Linked DNA regions of Styela clava. The protein of the gene in region 1 purifies or fractionates together with the protein of each later gene. This does not show direct contact. Links are inferred from orthologs where the notes say so. Each region holds a gene or a part of one and is shown in the gene's direction. Other genes may lie near its edges.

Region 1 (8,067 bases):
TGAACGCAGACTTCTGCATGACGTAACAATCAAATTAGTCAGCTGTAGGTGGATCCCCAGTGGTCGGATGAATATCAGATGTACTACTACTGCTCGCTTTTGCGTTGAGTAGTTTTCCATAGTTTTTTCAGTTATTATTAGTTCAGTTATTCTAAGGACGTGTTGAAAAGTATAAGTAAGATATTAAACACTTGTATATCCTTACCATAAATAGCAATTTTAGTTGAGCACTAGCTCATAAGACGTTGTTAAATAGGTACGGTGCGGTAACTCCGAGGAGGGCTAGACCTAAAATAATATGTCACAAACAACGATATTTTCTGGCTTGCATGAAATGTTTGTGATTAATTTAATGACTCTTCTTGACTATTCAGCAGACTTATACTACTATATAGGCCACAGCATATTTGGAAATATAAATTAATGGCTATTTCTGTAATGCACGTTTGTGTGAAAGAGAAGAAAATAATCAATTTTACCAATGTCGGTTGGTCTAAATCTGAATTCATAGAGTCGACAAGAACCTGGGAAGCAATGATAAGTTATGCAGGAGTGGGAAGAAAGTAGCACTGGAAACGATTGAGAGGTGAGAAATCAATTGTATTGTATTGTAGACAGACAGTTGATGTTTTAAAATATAGTCTGTGGTCCATACTCATACTGTCATAGAGCATTTCAGACTGTGATATATCAAAATTTAGTGTAGATATAGTCTAGTAATGATATGCAAACACTGCTGGACTGTAGTACATGCAATGAGCATATATACGCTCATTGAGTACATTAGATAAAATGCATTATGTATTCAAGGTATTAGTTAGTATTTAGTGGTATTTTTACACTCATGCTGTTCCAAATATGATTTTCTTCCTCATTTTAGATACTGTACCACAAAAAAAGAAAACGGCAATGTTCCACCAATCCGACCTAACGCAGGCTCTAATCCTTGCTGCTATCAGTGCTATAAAATGGATTAAACAAGAAGTCTTGAAGCGTAAAGGTATATGAGAATCATAATAGTTGCAAACAGCTTAGATGGCCTATTCATATTGAAATACTATAGCACTTTTCTGCAATTGGAACTGCCCATCAAACTCATGTTGGAGACTTCGTTGAGGTTTTCAATTCATTTTTCTCAACTATGAAGATCTTTTGAGGATAACGAGGCATTAATAAATAAAGCTGAGGAATTTGTTTGTTCACTGTATGAAGAGGATATGAAGAATGTAAATGATACCAGGGCACGTCTATTTAACAATGGCAAACATAAGGATTATACTCTTCCCACCCAACAATAATTCACTGAAGAAGCATGTGGCCCTCAAATCAGTTCTTGATTTGGCAAACTGCAAGTGTAAGAAAAATGATCAAAATAATTTATGCAAGTGTGCCAAAATCAACTTAAATTGCACAGATTTTTGTTTTTGTATTGACTGCAAAAATCACAGTACACTCATAGAAGAAAAGTCGATTTTCGAGATAGTGGATTTCGAAAACAATTCAGAAGGAAGTGAATTAGATGTTGCAATTGATTTAATAAGTATCATTTATTTGTTTTTTTTTCGGACATTCGTTAGTGTCGTAGTCCTGTTTCTAGAAATAATATTGCCTTTGTTCAAATACATAACCACTTAAACTAAAAAAGACCAATTGTAATATTTCTGTTCACTATGTTATGTACATTCATTTAATTTTCTTGACTTTTCCGGTAAATTTTTAAGTGAGAAGTAACTGATTTATTTGTGTTTTCGTGCTCACGATGTTAATTTGTGAATTCCTTGCTTAAAATAATTACGTTTGATAGCTTCTATAAAATGGATGTAGCTTTTTATGCTGTTCTTGTTGTAAACTGCTTGTGGTTATTACATAAAATTTATTCGCTAATGTGAATCAACGTTGTTGGTGTCGCTGCTTTCGAGGTCACTCGCGACTCCTGTCACACAATTAAAGTATTTTGTTGTCGATTACATGTATGCCATATTTTTCGTAATCTACCTAATAAATTATGATTGACTGAGGAAGTCCGATTTTGGTCAGGGAAAACATTACAGGAATACATCTGCGTTAGTGTGCTGTAGGGCTGTCGAATTACATAGTTCTTATGTATGTGTTGTAAACTGATGGTTATTGAATTTCCGGGAACCTCTTATATTCAATTTCGCATCAGGATTGTGCAACAAGCTGTAATGCTTTCAGTATGCTCATTTTCACACAAAACTGAAGAATTTATTTAGTTACCAGATGTGCGCTACGAAACTCATTTTCTGGGCGTTTTCAAGGCTTCGTCTCACGGTTCATATCCGTGGTAAGAATCTACAAGTGTTTAATTAATAACTCACTTGTACATTTTTCAACAATGTCTTAGAATAACTTAACTAATAATAACTAAACAGTGCTATGGAAAGGCTGCCCAACTCAACGCAAGGTCGAGCAGTAATAACTGATATTCATCCGCTCGCTAACAGCTGATTCGATTCAATTGTTACGTTATGCAGAAGTTATTGTTCATTGCCGAAAATGTAGAGAATATAGCACAGATCGTAGCACATATTTCTTGTAGTAAAAGCGTCTTTTCCGTGAAACGTGCAACTTTTGGAAAAGGGAACAAGGCAATATTCGTTACTAAATTTTTAAGGAACATTTTAAAATCATTTTCAGGTAGTTACCTGATGTGCGCTACGAAACTCACTTTCTAGGCGTTTTTCAGGGCCTCGGCTCGCGGCCTATATGATCCCAACTAAGTGATTTAAACCTGCGATCGTTAAACAGCTGAATAAAAAAAACGATGCTCAATAATTTGGACCAAACTTTCGCAGCGGCAAAACGAATGAACATTCTTCTGAAAAATTAACTGTCCGCAGATGTTTCTCGGATAACTCGGCTCGGCGGTATGGTCAGCATATACGAAGTTAAGGTTAAAGTCATCCAACTTCACTCGATAAATCAACACCCAATAAGACCTAAATATTAAACGAAAGATACACATTTTATTATAAAATTAATATAAAATTCCTGATGTAAGTATCGCTACTTGCACAAAACCTATTTTAACAAACTGACAGAACTACAATATAAATTATACTACAGAAACTTGCACTATTTTTGCGGTTACATGTCATGATATTAATGTATGCGTATCGCAAATTTTCAACAAGGTGTACTTTGCCAAAATAATATTAAAAAAATATACTACATGCATGGAATGAAGGATAACGGCGTATATCAAGTTTACAAGAACATCTAATAATTTGGAGTGTATAAAATAGTATATTAGCTATATATCTGACTTGAGCTCTTGCCGCAGGTCTACTAGCATACCGTTTTTCAATAATTTTATTTGTCTCCTCTTTCGCGTGAATATTTAACCTTAAATTAAGAAAACGTTTCAAAGTTTTAAAAGCGATATTGTGGCAAGATGGGAAATTATATTTCAAGCAACTTTATTTGTCAGAAAAGTAACAGGCGAACATATATTATGAAAGGCATTATTATTGGCGCGAAATATAGTTTATGCTTCTTGCAAAAAGACGATTGCTTTTTTGGATGGGTGGCATAAATATTGGGTAAAACTATCAATTTTCAAATATTTATCATGTGTGTAAGACCTAAAAAGATCTAGTAACGATTGTGGGCATTCATCGGGATTGACACTTTCCCTAGAAACAAACAAACAATTCGAAGCCCGTGTCTCTATGGGGTTCCCCCGGAAACATCAAGGCTATTTTTTCACTGTTGGATATCGATAAAATTACGATCAAGTTCTATCAACGAGAACGTAGAAGACATGATGGCGTCGCTAGATCACCTAGTAAATATTTTACATTTTCCGACGCAAAAGAATCGAAATATCCTGCCAATAATAGGTTGATAAGAGCTGCAACACCAGTCGCGGCGGCTGGTTTTTAAATTTTGTACCTTATAATGTACATGCTTCGATGAAATTCATTAGGCCGCACAATGTGCTAGCCATGAGATCGTTTACATTCTATAATTTTTGGAGCAACTGTTGCAACAGCTCGTTGAATTAAGAAAAATTTTCCCGAGAAAATTCATTTCATCGGTTTCTGGAATGATTAATGTGAAACACAGGCTTCAAACTTTCGGCATGGTGTGAACAGGTATCATAATACCAGTTCAAATAGTAGGCCTACCTGATTTAAACGTATGCATTAGGTTAATGACGTTTCACACTTGCGAAGGAAAGCGATAAGTGTTTTTGATACGGAACGTTGCTACGTAATTGCGTAACGAAGTAATTAGGGAACGTTGTTGTTTAACTCAAGTTGGCGCAGTGGACATGACAAGAATTGGAGAACATTGAATGGAATAACTTATACAATTTTACTGGTGCACGATAAATTCTATCTAATTTCGAAAGCTATTTTTAACCTCCGCAAATGTGTCGATGTCATATTAGGTTAAAAAAGGAACAAATCGAAGTTTTTGTTATTTAATTTGAAAGCTTTTCAAAAAAAAATCCACGCTTTTCAATTTTTGTATGATAATCTCTACATTTTATCTCCATCTCATAATTAGTCTCTTAGATTGTCTCTCAAACAATATAAAACTTATCTGCATATAATATAAGGTTCGTGAGATATGAGGTTTTAAAGTTGCATAACTCACACGAGATGATAAGATAACTATCGTAACTTTCACGACCAGTATGATTCCACGAGGCAAATAGCAAAAGAAAAATAATGAAATTACCCGAATAAAATGCAAACCAGGGTAAAATTTTGCACTCGGTGTCTCCGCACTTGGTTTATAGTCACTTTGCTTCACAGTGGTGTGAGCACGTTGGTGTTAGGCACAAACATGTTTGGAACTCCGAAAATGGCCATCTGGCTGGGTTTTCGACAAACATCTAAAGCTCATCTCTCAGGTCACCTGCATTTTGTTTGTTGTTGTTTTCGGTTTCGAGGACTCCCGGCTAAATCTGGGATGCTTTCTCTAATCTGATTCAATAACATTTTCAAAATGACTGCTTGGCTTGGGTACCGTAACAGTACCGATAACAGAGGTACAGTACCGCCACCACAGGGGTACCGTACCGTGCGTATCATATCGTAGCCTAGTCATTAAAATATAGGCATAACGGTAATTATCTCCTATTACGGTACCGGTATGTTACAGTGTTAGGCTGTTAGGAGAGTAGGACGAGTTATACATCAGCATCTGAGCATACCTGTACCTCAGTAGGGTACTGGCGCGGCGGTGTGGCTCAACGGGCTAAGCGTTAGGAATACGCTCGCCACCGCACCTCTAATTACTCTGCGTGGTTTCGAATCCCATGCAGGGATGGTTATGTGCGAGAGGATTGCTGGACTCCTCACTGTCGTTGGGTGGTTCACGTAACCGCTGGTCGGTTACGGCTTTCTCCACCACCAAGTCCATGCTTCCGAAAAACAAACAATATAACTAATCCTGTAATCCCATACCCGACTTGGTAACCGGACGAGAGGCCATGGTTCGCCATATGGATAAGCCGTCTTATCGGCTTTCCTCTCCCCCGGGATAAATATGTAAATCCTACTGACTGACTGATGGGTATTTGTTTTCAATAGTGTTTCAGAATATACCGTACTGTACTTTTTAAAGTGTTGTGACAGTGTGATGCGGCTGTCAGTACAGCATCCGATTCCGGATTTGCGGCTGTATTCTGAAACATCGAAGAAATGCATGTGTGTCTCTGAAACCAGGGACTTCGAGCCGACTGGAAGCTCGATGCGTGAGCAGTCTGATGTCTTGAATGCCCCAGTCCAGCAGTCTGGATTTCATGATCTTTTCCAACAAGAAATTGGGGGTGCAATCAGAAATTCCATTCCATATACGCTATGACATAATTCATCCAAAATTAATAGGCTTCTGGTCCGAGATATGATGAATGCACATGCAAAATTTGGAGCAGATTTACCTCGCTTTTGCGAGATATCGCTTGTATCTAACAGACAAATACCTATCAACATACTTCTGTACTTACCGATCAAGATCGATAAGTTATAAGGTCTTTTTTGCTATGCATTTTTCAATTAGGCCAAATCTTGGAAGCTAGAGTATAGTCAACAGTTGTGGAGCTACAATTCTGCAATTTGTCGGCATCTTTCTATTACTGGAGCGCTAGTGCCCTCGGCCTTGCACCTGCCATGGAATCCAGTCTGGTGAATTTCTCAATGTGGCATTGAATTGAGTTATTCTCGTATAACAGTATAAATTACGCAAGTTGAACATTTGTGGCAAATGAATGCTTCGATGCAGCATTGGAATAAATGATTCTGCTAATTTGATTCTCGTTTTCTTCGATCTATTCTTGTATAAATCATAAAGTTGAACATTTGCGGCATAGGAATGCCTCGTTGTGGCATTGGCTCAAGTTATTGTTTTTATAAATTAAATCATCTAATGCCTCATCGGGTTATTAAGTTTACTGTTTTAGTCTAGATTGTTGGTGTCCAAATTCAAATAAAGTATGATATCATATATGTTGTTATCAAAATGTGATTTTCATGTATTATCGTCAACACGCCATCATATAGTGTGCCATCCTGGATTACAGGATTATCAAATAGCCTATGTTTCAAATTGGGCATATTTTTAACCGCCAATGAATGTCCACTCAATGAGTTAGTACAGGGTGGTCCAAACTATGGCACACACCGACCGGTCTTACTACTTACTGAATACAGCGCGAAACACCACAAAGAGCGCGAAACAGCGGAAAACAGAGGGAAACAGCGCTAAACAGTGGGGAAACAGCGCGAAAGAGCGCAAAACAGAGGGAAACAGTGTGAAGCAGAAAAAAATTTTGCAATGAGTTCGAGGCACCTTGTTTTGAGTTGGAGTACCACGGCAGCAAATTAAAAACACAAACCAACGTATGTAGCCAGTAATGCTGTAATGGCAGGTCTGCCCCTGCTGGTGACACATTTTAGGTACCATAATTAGAACATTTTCCATATGGATATGGTTGACTTTGGGGTTAGGGTTAGGTAAAAAGGGTCCTCCAGAAGTATGTGCACCAAGATGGCGCACAACCTGAAAATAGTATGTGTGTGTGTGTGTAGCGGATTCAGGTTGTGCGACATATTGTTGCACATACTTCTGGAGCACCAAAAAGGTAGATAAAATTTCGCATGATGACCTATAATCCGGTACATAACCTTGTAAATATACCGGAAATAGCGCCATAAAACCATGGCGAGAAGCGCCGTGGTTCTTTCGTGGCAGGAGGTGGTAATGACTGCGTCTCCTGTTTTGCGCTGTTTCCCTCTGTTTTGCGCTGGTTTCGCGCTGTTTCGCGCTGTTTTGCATTCTTTGCGGTGTTTCGCGCTGTATTCAGTAAGTAGTAAGACCCCACACCGACGCATGCGGCCCGCTGAACAATTTTAGCGTACACCAAACCATTGGCAGATATTTGTATTTATTAGCAAAATATTTTTTTATCTATTACAACTGGGATTGGGATCTTGAGATTTAAGTCTTTATCACAATTCCGATGTCAGGAATGATATTTGTTAAAATCACATAATTTCAAGGTTGGCATTACAAATATGCAGACAGTACCCAGAAATTCGATGACACATGCATTTAGGGACTAAAACTAGTTTTAAATCTTTTTTGACATCTCTGCCTATATTCAGACATTGCATAGTTTCGGCAGTGTTCAGTAGGGCACAGTTCTCTGATTTTTGGCTAGAAACTCTAAAGAGCTGCGGTAATTTTTTTCCTTTGGTAAATCAGATTATTTTTTTCTGAGGAATCCCTTGGGCTTCCTTTTAATTCATTGTGCAGTGCCAGTTTTGAATTATTGTCGATTATGGAGGCCCAAATTGTCTCGTAATAGAGGGGTTTGCACTTACTGTTTTAATTGATGTTCTTCAATATGCAGATATGGGAGCTATTCTCAGAATCAGAGAACTGTGTCATACTGAAAGTAGATTTGTCAATGCTCCTATTTGGAGCATGACTTTCTGCATTGTTATTCGCCCTAGCCCTCGAGCTCTTTGTTATACCTAAACCAGTATGGTATACAGTAACCAGTAACTGAGTTAATCTTTCATTGGGTTT
Region 2 (7,696 bases), on another chromosome or scaffold:
CGCATGGGATTGGAACCTGTGAAACTACCAGGGTGATCAGAGATGCGGTGGCGAGCGTATTCCTAGATGGCGAATTCAATTGAATTCTGGTTATTTTTGCATGAGCGCTGGCGTTAAACTTTAGTCATTTATTCAACTTTTTACACTTACTAATAGATTACCTGCTTACTAGATCTTTTGAAAACAGTGGAATATAACTGAAGATCCATTTCGTTGCCTATACTTTACGTACAGCCAACGGAACAATACGAAATAACCATTTTCAACAGCCAAACAAAACGGAAACGTATAATCTGAATTGCAACTGACAGGAGCCAAATAGACGTTTTTGTTTTTTTGCCGTCCAGTAAACAAAGTCACGTGACCCGTGCAAGTCCTCTATATTAAACTGGTTTATATGTCTCAAAAAATCATTTTAATTCAGTACTGATAAAAAAGTTTAGCCTAGATAGTCTATCACAGCATTTTCTAGTAATGCTTTAATTTTTTCATTAGTCATCGCAACCATGGGTTAAACAGAATTAAATTAATATAGTAAGGCATTTCAAAGGCTGGCATCATTCATTGTGTTGAATTTTTGCGCAACATCCCAGTAAAAAATCGATACTTATAACTATCATGACCAAAATTATTTGCGAGAAATGTATAAAATATTTTTTCTAATAAACCAACTTGTTTTTTTCCGGGTATCGTAATTTGTAACAAAGCGCACGATTTTATTTAACCTATTTAATATCAGACTGTGGTTGGATTATGCGAGACGCGTGACAAGAAGACAAATGTTTTCTACTAATTAAACTTAAGTCTTATTTTCATATTTTCAGCCATACACTTCAACCAGGAATGGACAATACCGAATAAATCGCTATTTCGAATATTAGTAAAAATTTATTTATTTTGTAAATACAAAAATGCAAATCAAAAATTAATTATAATAACAAACAATCGAAGTGCCGAAACCAACCGAAAAGGTATTCGAATATTCGATTCGTTTTAAACAACCCTGATTAGATATCGTTTATTACTCAAAATTAGATACTCAATTACTAGTAGCAAACGATCTTTTTCAAAGCTGAAACAGAGAAAAACATATATTTTTGAGATCTTCGATGTTAAATCAGCGCCTGCCAAATTTACCTTTTGATTGAAAAGAAATTCCTGACGAGTGAGCTGGAGGAGGCTGTCGTTCAAACATTTGTTGAGTGTTGGCAGCTAAGTAGTAATTAGACATAAAAATAAGTGACTTGCTTTTTGTTAATAAATGAGTTCGATCTTATACATGTGAGTTTGTTGCTTAGTTTGATGATTCACGTATAATGACATCTATAATCTGTTGTCTGTCTATAATCTGAATTATATTTTAAGTCAGGGATGTATATATGCTCATTGGGGATGAGGAGCATCATTATCCGTTGGGATTTGTTCAAAATAAATTGCTTTAAATCAAATTTTTTTTTTGCCCGTGTCGTTAAAAATTGCTGTAATGTTTGATTTTTTTTGTATTTAAATAGGTCAAATTAAAACAAGGAAAATGTATGTAACTTGCCAATTGCTACTGATTTGCAATAAACCTTTCCAAACACCACAAATATTTTTTCCCCCTTTTTTTTCTTGCAAAGTTTGGCACACCCCCAGCAAGGAGACAACAGTCTATCGTTCTAAAGGCACGGACCTAATCAATGGACGTACATCGATCGTTCCTTCTTCCATCCACGTCTATGCGATAAGAGTCGGTCCGTAAGTAGTTTAATTTTTCACATACTAAAAATACAAAATGTACGTACATTTATTCCGCCGGAAAAAATATGTGAATTCTATCCAACGACTAACATACCTATTCTATCCTAATTAATAATTGGCGATCTCAGTGATGCACAGTCGTTGGTCATGCATATTTCGTGCCCGAGCATCTACTCGTATACGCCATCTGATGGCTGGCGACAATATGGTGCAGTGACGAAAGATTCCACGAGCTTACACATGGAAGGAAATCCGCGTGTTCGCCTTGCAACTTTCATCAACTTTTGGTTTTATTAAAATACCTGTTTTACTTTTACCCCTGTTAGTTTACCAGTATACAATTAAAATTGGATAATGGTTCGGATTTATTGCTTCGAGGGTTTAGTCAACTAATCTAATTTTGGTCATCGCATTTTTTTCTTGGCAAGTTTCCTGAAATTCAGTCCTGTTTATGTCTTTGGTTTTTCAGAATACTGGAATTTGTTTGCAAAAAATATTGTCAGGCTGATACTACCCTATTTCTGTATTTATTGGTTATTTCAGTATTTAGGTGTAGATTGGTATCAGAATTTCGGTAGATTTGTCGGGTCTCATGTAGTTTCTTACCTAACATACCGGTACTTCTAGTGGGCTTAGCATGACAATTTATTCACGTATCAATTCTAACCCCCACCTGACTACACCATCCAAAAATTACGTCATTACGACGTCACAGTGACGTAATAGAGCCCTTCAAACTATACGAACTGCCATCCAAGACGCGCAAACGAGCACCCGAAATCGAACAGTTATTTCTCTCGTTTTCTCGTCGCAACGATTCCAATAGGAGAGAGACCGATAACGTCAGTCAGTTCTTTATCGTCGGCGCCAATGCCATTTCGGTCGATCGTGCGTATATTTAGCAAGCTCTATGACGTGATTGTGATGTCGTAGTGATTTAATTTTTGGCGTAATCAGATGGGGGTTAGGATTGACATATCAAAAAATTGTTATGCTACGCCTACTAGAAGTACGTTAGGTACGAAACTACACGAGACCCAATTTGTCAAAGTGCAGAAGTGTGAATTGGTCATTCGATTGACTATTTTACAATCTGAATTAAACTATGTTTGCTTCAGTACTGACAATGTTAAACATTTGACAATATTGATATTCAGATATAGGCCTAGGTTTCAACAATTCTTCACCTGAAAGAACTGAAGACCTGATATTTTACAATTTAGTTGCAAAGTATTACACTGAAATGTGATAGCAACTTTGAAATTGATTGATTTTAAAATTTACTTGCAAAGTATTGCACTGAAATATGATAGCAACTTTGAAATTGATTGATTTTAAAATTTACATGCAAAGTATTACACTGAAATACGGTAGCAACTTTGAAATTGATTGGAATGAAAAAAGCATCCTATTTTTGAGAAATCGGGGTATCTTGAATTATGTTTAATTCTATTGAGCTGGAAGTTCTGTATACAGATGTATGTCATCATTATTATCAATACACCAATATCTGAATATGTTCAGATGTTGCATCATGAATTGAAAACATCGATAGACTATTTGTCAGTAGCCTATTTGGCTACAGGAGTGGTGACTCCTCTACGGCCCATGGGCCGGGGCCAGGACCCATCTAATTGGGCCACATAGGCCGTGGCCCATAGCTTGATGGGCCGCAGCCCCATCAGGAAAAATTCAATTATCTTAACAAAATTTTCAATTTTTACCAAATTGTCAATATTCAAACCAAAAAAATATACTCCTGTAGTATGTGTTCCAGGTTAGGGTTAGGACAGAAAAAATTCAGATTTTTTACATTATAGTTCTATTATGAGTTCGGGGACTGTCTGTGTTAGCCAAGTGAATAGTTTCTTTACACAACTTGATGGGCCGCGGCCCATAGCCTGATGGGCCGAGGCCCAATTCGATGGACCGTGGCCCCGGCCCATGGGCCGCAGAGGAGTCACCACTTCCACTCCTATTTGGAGTATTGAAATACAGAAATAGTCTACTCAGCTACCAACTTTAAATTCATATGGCAGTGTCACATGAAATGAATTCTACCTTATCTAGACCAGGGGTGTGCAACATTTTTTTGTCGGTGGGCCGTATATCCAACTTCAAACATCTTGCTGGTCTACATACCGCTGTATAGTGATGAAGACACTGCGTAAAATAGCGAAAAGAAAACCATTGTGTATTTTTACCCATGTTTTTAAACATAAACTGTCGATTAGGACTGGGAAAAAATGTGAATGTTGACAAGGGCCGCCTGTTGTAGACCCCTGATGGGGGCCACAAAATTATTTTTGCATTATTCACGCGCCACAATATTGCCTAGAATAGATGAACAGCGTGATATGGAACAAACACTTTTATTGTGCAAACACATTCGATCATTATTTTTCATCGATCAATCTTCCTATATGAACATTTAGTATTAGATTTTATTTTCTTCATAATGGAGAAAGACTTTTTGCAAATATAAGTGCTTTCGAACACAGATAAGATGCTGAAAGCAAAATCCCCTTGGAAAATAGTCATTGCTCACAAGATTTCAAAATGCCATTTTAGATCATATACTTTATATTCAAGCATTGTGGTATTATCCCTCACTTATCTGGTTAAAAATCGTTTTGAATTGGTCAGCTTTATTTTAAAACTCATGTTGACAAATAACTTAATTCAAAATGATCACGGCCGATTGCTGGATTGATTCCTAAATTTGCCAATTGTGAGGTACAGGAGGTAATTACTGAATTTGTTGATGAAACAGCACCAAGAATATTTTCTAATAACAATAGAATTCAAACCACATTACTCGAAATGAAAATTACCAAAGGTGGTACTGCTTTCTAGTTTACATTTTTAATGCATGTCATATGATGTTTATATTTTACAGTTAACAACATCTGATTTAGCATATTTGTCCTTATTAAGTTTTCCGCAGTTTGTCGGAGATGCCAGAGTATTTTCAACGACCTGAAAATGCTCTTAAGAGAGCGCAAGAATTTCTTGAGGTTGGAAAGCTAAAACCAGCCTTAGATGTTCTCAGTGATGTGCTGCGAAGCAAGAAGCATCGAACCTGGCAGAAGATTCATGAGCAAATCATTAGACAATATCTAAACCTTTGTGTGGACCTCCGAAAGAGCCAGGCGGCCAAAGAAGGATTGTATCAGTATAAAATAATTTGCCAGCAAGTCAACATCAACTCTCTTGAAAATGCTGTGAAGAATTATCTCAAGTTAGCTGAAGAGAAGACTGAAGAGGCAAAGGATAAATCAACTGAGACCGCTTTGCAAATGGTTGAAGATCTTGATATGATTGATTCGCCAGAAGGTGTTTTGCTTAGTGCTGTTACTGGTGAGAAAACCCATGATCGAACCAACCGTCTCATGTTGACACCTTGGGTCAAGTTTTTGTGGGAAAGCTATCGCCAATGCTTGGATCTGCTGAGAAATAATAACAGAGTCGAGAAATTGTATCAAGATATTGCTCTAAATGCATTTGAATTCTGTTTGAAGTATGATCGTCGTACAGAATTTCGAAAGCTTTGCGACAATCTTAGAAACCATGTGAAATTGAGTGAGCAGCGTCACCAAACAGCAGTATCTATCAATCTCACCAATGTGGAAAGCCAGTTGTTGCACCTTGGCACAAGGATTGCACAGCTTGATAGTGCTATTAAGATCGAGCTATGGCAAGAAGCATTCAAGGCTGTGGAGGATATCCATTATCTGATGTCACTTTCGAAAAAACCACCAAAGCCCCAAGTTTTGGTGAATTTTCATTCAAAGTTGTCTCTGGTCTTTTGGAAAGCTGGCAACATGCTTTTCCATGCAAGTTCAAGGCACCATTTGTTTCGACTCACCAAAGAGATGAAAAAGAACCCAACTAAGGATGATTTGTCTAGAATGGCTTCTCTCATGCTTGTTTCCACATTAGCTATCCCAATCACTGAGCAGAAACATGGAATTGGTAAAATGCTTGATATGGAAAGTGCTTTGATTGACAAGCACTTAAAGTTGGCAAAGCTTCTTGGGCTCAGCAGACCACCAACTCGTTCAAGCTTGATTGAGGATCTCAAGAAACACAACATATTGCAATACACACCTAAACAGCTGAGAGATCTCTTCCAATGGCTTGAGGTTGATTTCCATCCACTTCGTCTCAGTGCACGTGTTGGACAGTCATTGCAATGGATACGTGAGCAAACAAGAGAACCAGAGCTTGCACAATATATCACTGCTTTGGAGGGAAATGTTGTCTCTCGTGTTCTGCAACAAGTTGCCAATGTCTATCAAACCATTGAGCTATCTCATCTTTTGAGTCTTCTTCCGTTTTGTTCTGCTTTTCAGTTGGAGCGTGCTATTATTGATGCATCTCGCAATGGTCAGATTCAAGTTCGCATTGATCATAGTAAGGGTGCAATCAGGTTTGGCACTGACTTGAATGCTTCTCCACTTTATGTAGAGGATGAATTCTTTGAACCGCAACGCCTGCAACCTCTGCCAAGCGAAAAAATTTCTCAACAATTCAACGAAATGGCTCAATCACTTCATGTTGCTTACAGGAAACTTCAACCACAGGCAGAAGTGGATAAGATGCTCCAGAGGAAAAATGAAATTCTGAACCTCTACACAAAAACTTGGAGGAAAGATCAGCAAAATATATTGCAGAGACGACAAGTTATTGAAATGCGCAAAGAACAGCTTGAAGAATTCAGTAGAGAACGGGAGAAGCAAGAGCAAAAGGCTGCCAAAGAGCAAGAAGAAGCTGTTAAAGCAGCTGAACAAGAACGACTCACGAAGGAAATGAGAGAACGGGAAGAAATGCGTCGCCGCGAGGAAAAGGAAGATGAAGAACGTCGGGTGGCACAGGATCGCCTTGAAATGATTCGAAAGAGTGAACTTGGAGCAAAAATGCTTAAGGACATTGATGTGGACACTTTCACAAAAATTGATCCAGATGAATTAATGAAAAGACAAATGGAAACCATGGAAAGAGAAAAGAAGGATATGCAAGATAGACTGAAAGCTCAAGAGAAGAAAGTGGATTACTTTGAGAGAGCCAAACGTCTTGAAGAGATCCCGCTGATGAAAGAAAAATATGAAAAGAAACGTGAGACTGATGCCATACTATGGGAGGAACTAGAAGCAGAGCGCATTGAAAGAACCAAGGTTGAACAGATCATCACAAATCAAACCAAAGAGAGATTGTCAAGGATGAAAGAGGATCGAAATATATATTTACAGAGTCTGAGAGAATCAAGAAGAGCAATCTTTGATAAAAAGCATTCAGAATTCGAAAAAATGCTTTTCGAAGTTCGCGAAGAACGACTCGCTGAAAGAAAACAAGAGAGAAAAGAGCAACGTCGTCAAAAGTGGCTCAAAGACAAGGCAGAATATGAACAAAGAATACTTGATGAGCAGTTGAAGAGAGAGCGCGAAGAAAAAGAGCGTGCTGAACGTGAAAAACAAGAAGAAGAGACACGTGCATATGAAGAGAAGATGCAAGCACTTAAGATCGCTGAGGAGAAGCGACTGCAAAGAGAACGTGAGATTGAAGCTAAGATTGCTGCCCAACAGAATCCGAATGCCTATAGACCAAGAGGTGAAAGAGATGGCCCACCAGCACGCAGAGATGATGATAGAGGTGCCTGGAGAGGACCTGGCGGTGGGGGTTCACGTTTTAAAGATGATGCACCAGATGATAACCCCTGGAGAAGAGATGGACCACCTGCCGAAAAACAAGCGTGGCGCCCTAGTCGACGAGATGGGCCGCCTCGTGATTTCGACTTTCCTTCAAGGATTCGAACGGATGGTCCAAGAGATAGAGGTTGGGAAGATAGAGGTCCACCAAAAAGAAGAGATGATGACCAACCCTCAGATTGGAGAAGACGTCGATCACCTTCACCAAGACGACCACGCTCGCCCGACAGATATCAGCAAAGACGTAT

The links.
Region 2: the proteins of uncharacterized protein LOC120338787 (region 1) and eukaryotic translation initiation factor 3 subunit A-like purify together in Homo sapiens (co-immunoprecipitation; 3 studies listed by BioGRID and IntAct, with this or other methods). This does not show direct contact. The link is inferred for Styela clava from reciprocal best matches to the Homo sapiens genes EIF4B and EIF3A.

What each region holds. Positions count from the first base shown.
Region 1 is NC_135258.1:23,451,893-23,459,959, reverse strand, and holds the start of uncharacterized protein LOC120338787, read left to right. Parts: upstream 1-4,803; 5' UTR 4,804-4,818; coding exon 4,819-4,885; intron 4,886-8,024; exon of another isoform or gene 8,025-8,067. UniProt on the Homo sapiens protein: Required for the binding of mRNA to ribosomes. Functions in close association with EIF4-F and EIF4-A. Binds near the 5'-terminal cap of mRNA in presence of EIF-4F and ATP.
Region 2 is NC_135253.1:8,116,588-8,124,283, forward strand, and holds the start of eukaryotic translation initiation factor 3 subunit A-like, read left to right. Parts: upstream 1-4,618; 5' UTR 4,619-4,697; coding exon 4,698-7,696. UniProt on the Homo sapiens protein: RNA-binding component of the eukaryotic translation initiation factor 3 (eIF-3) complex, which is required for several steps in the initiation of protein synthesis.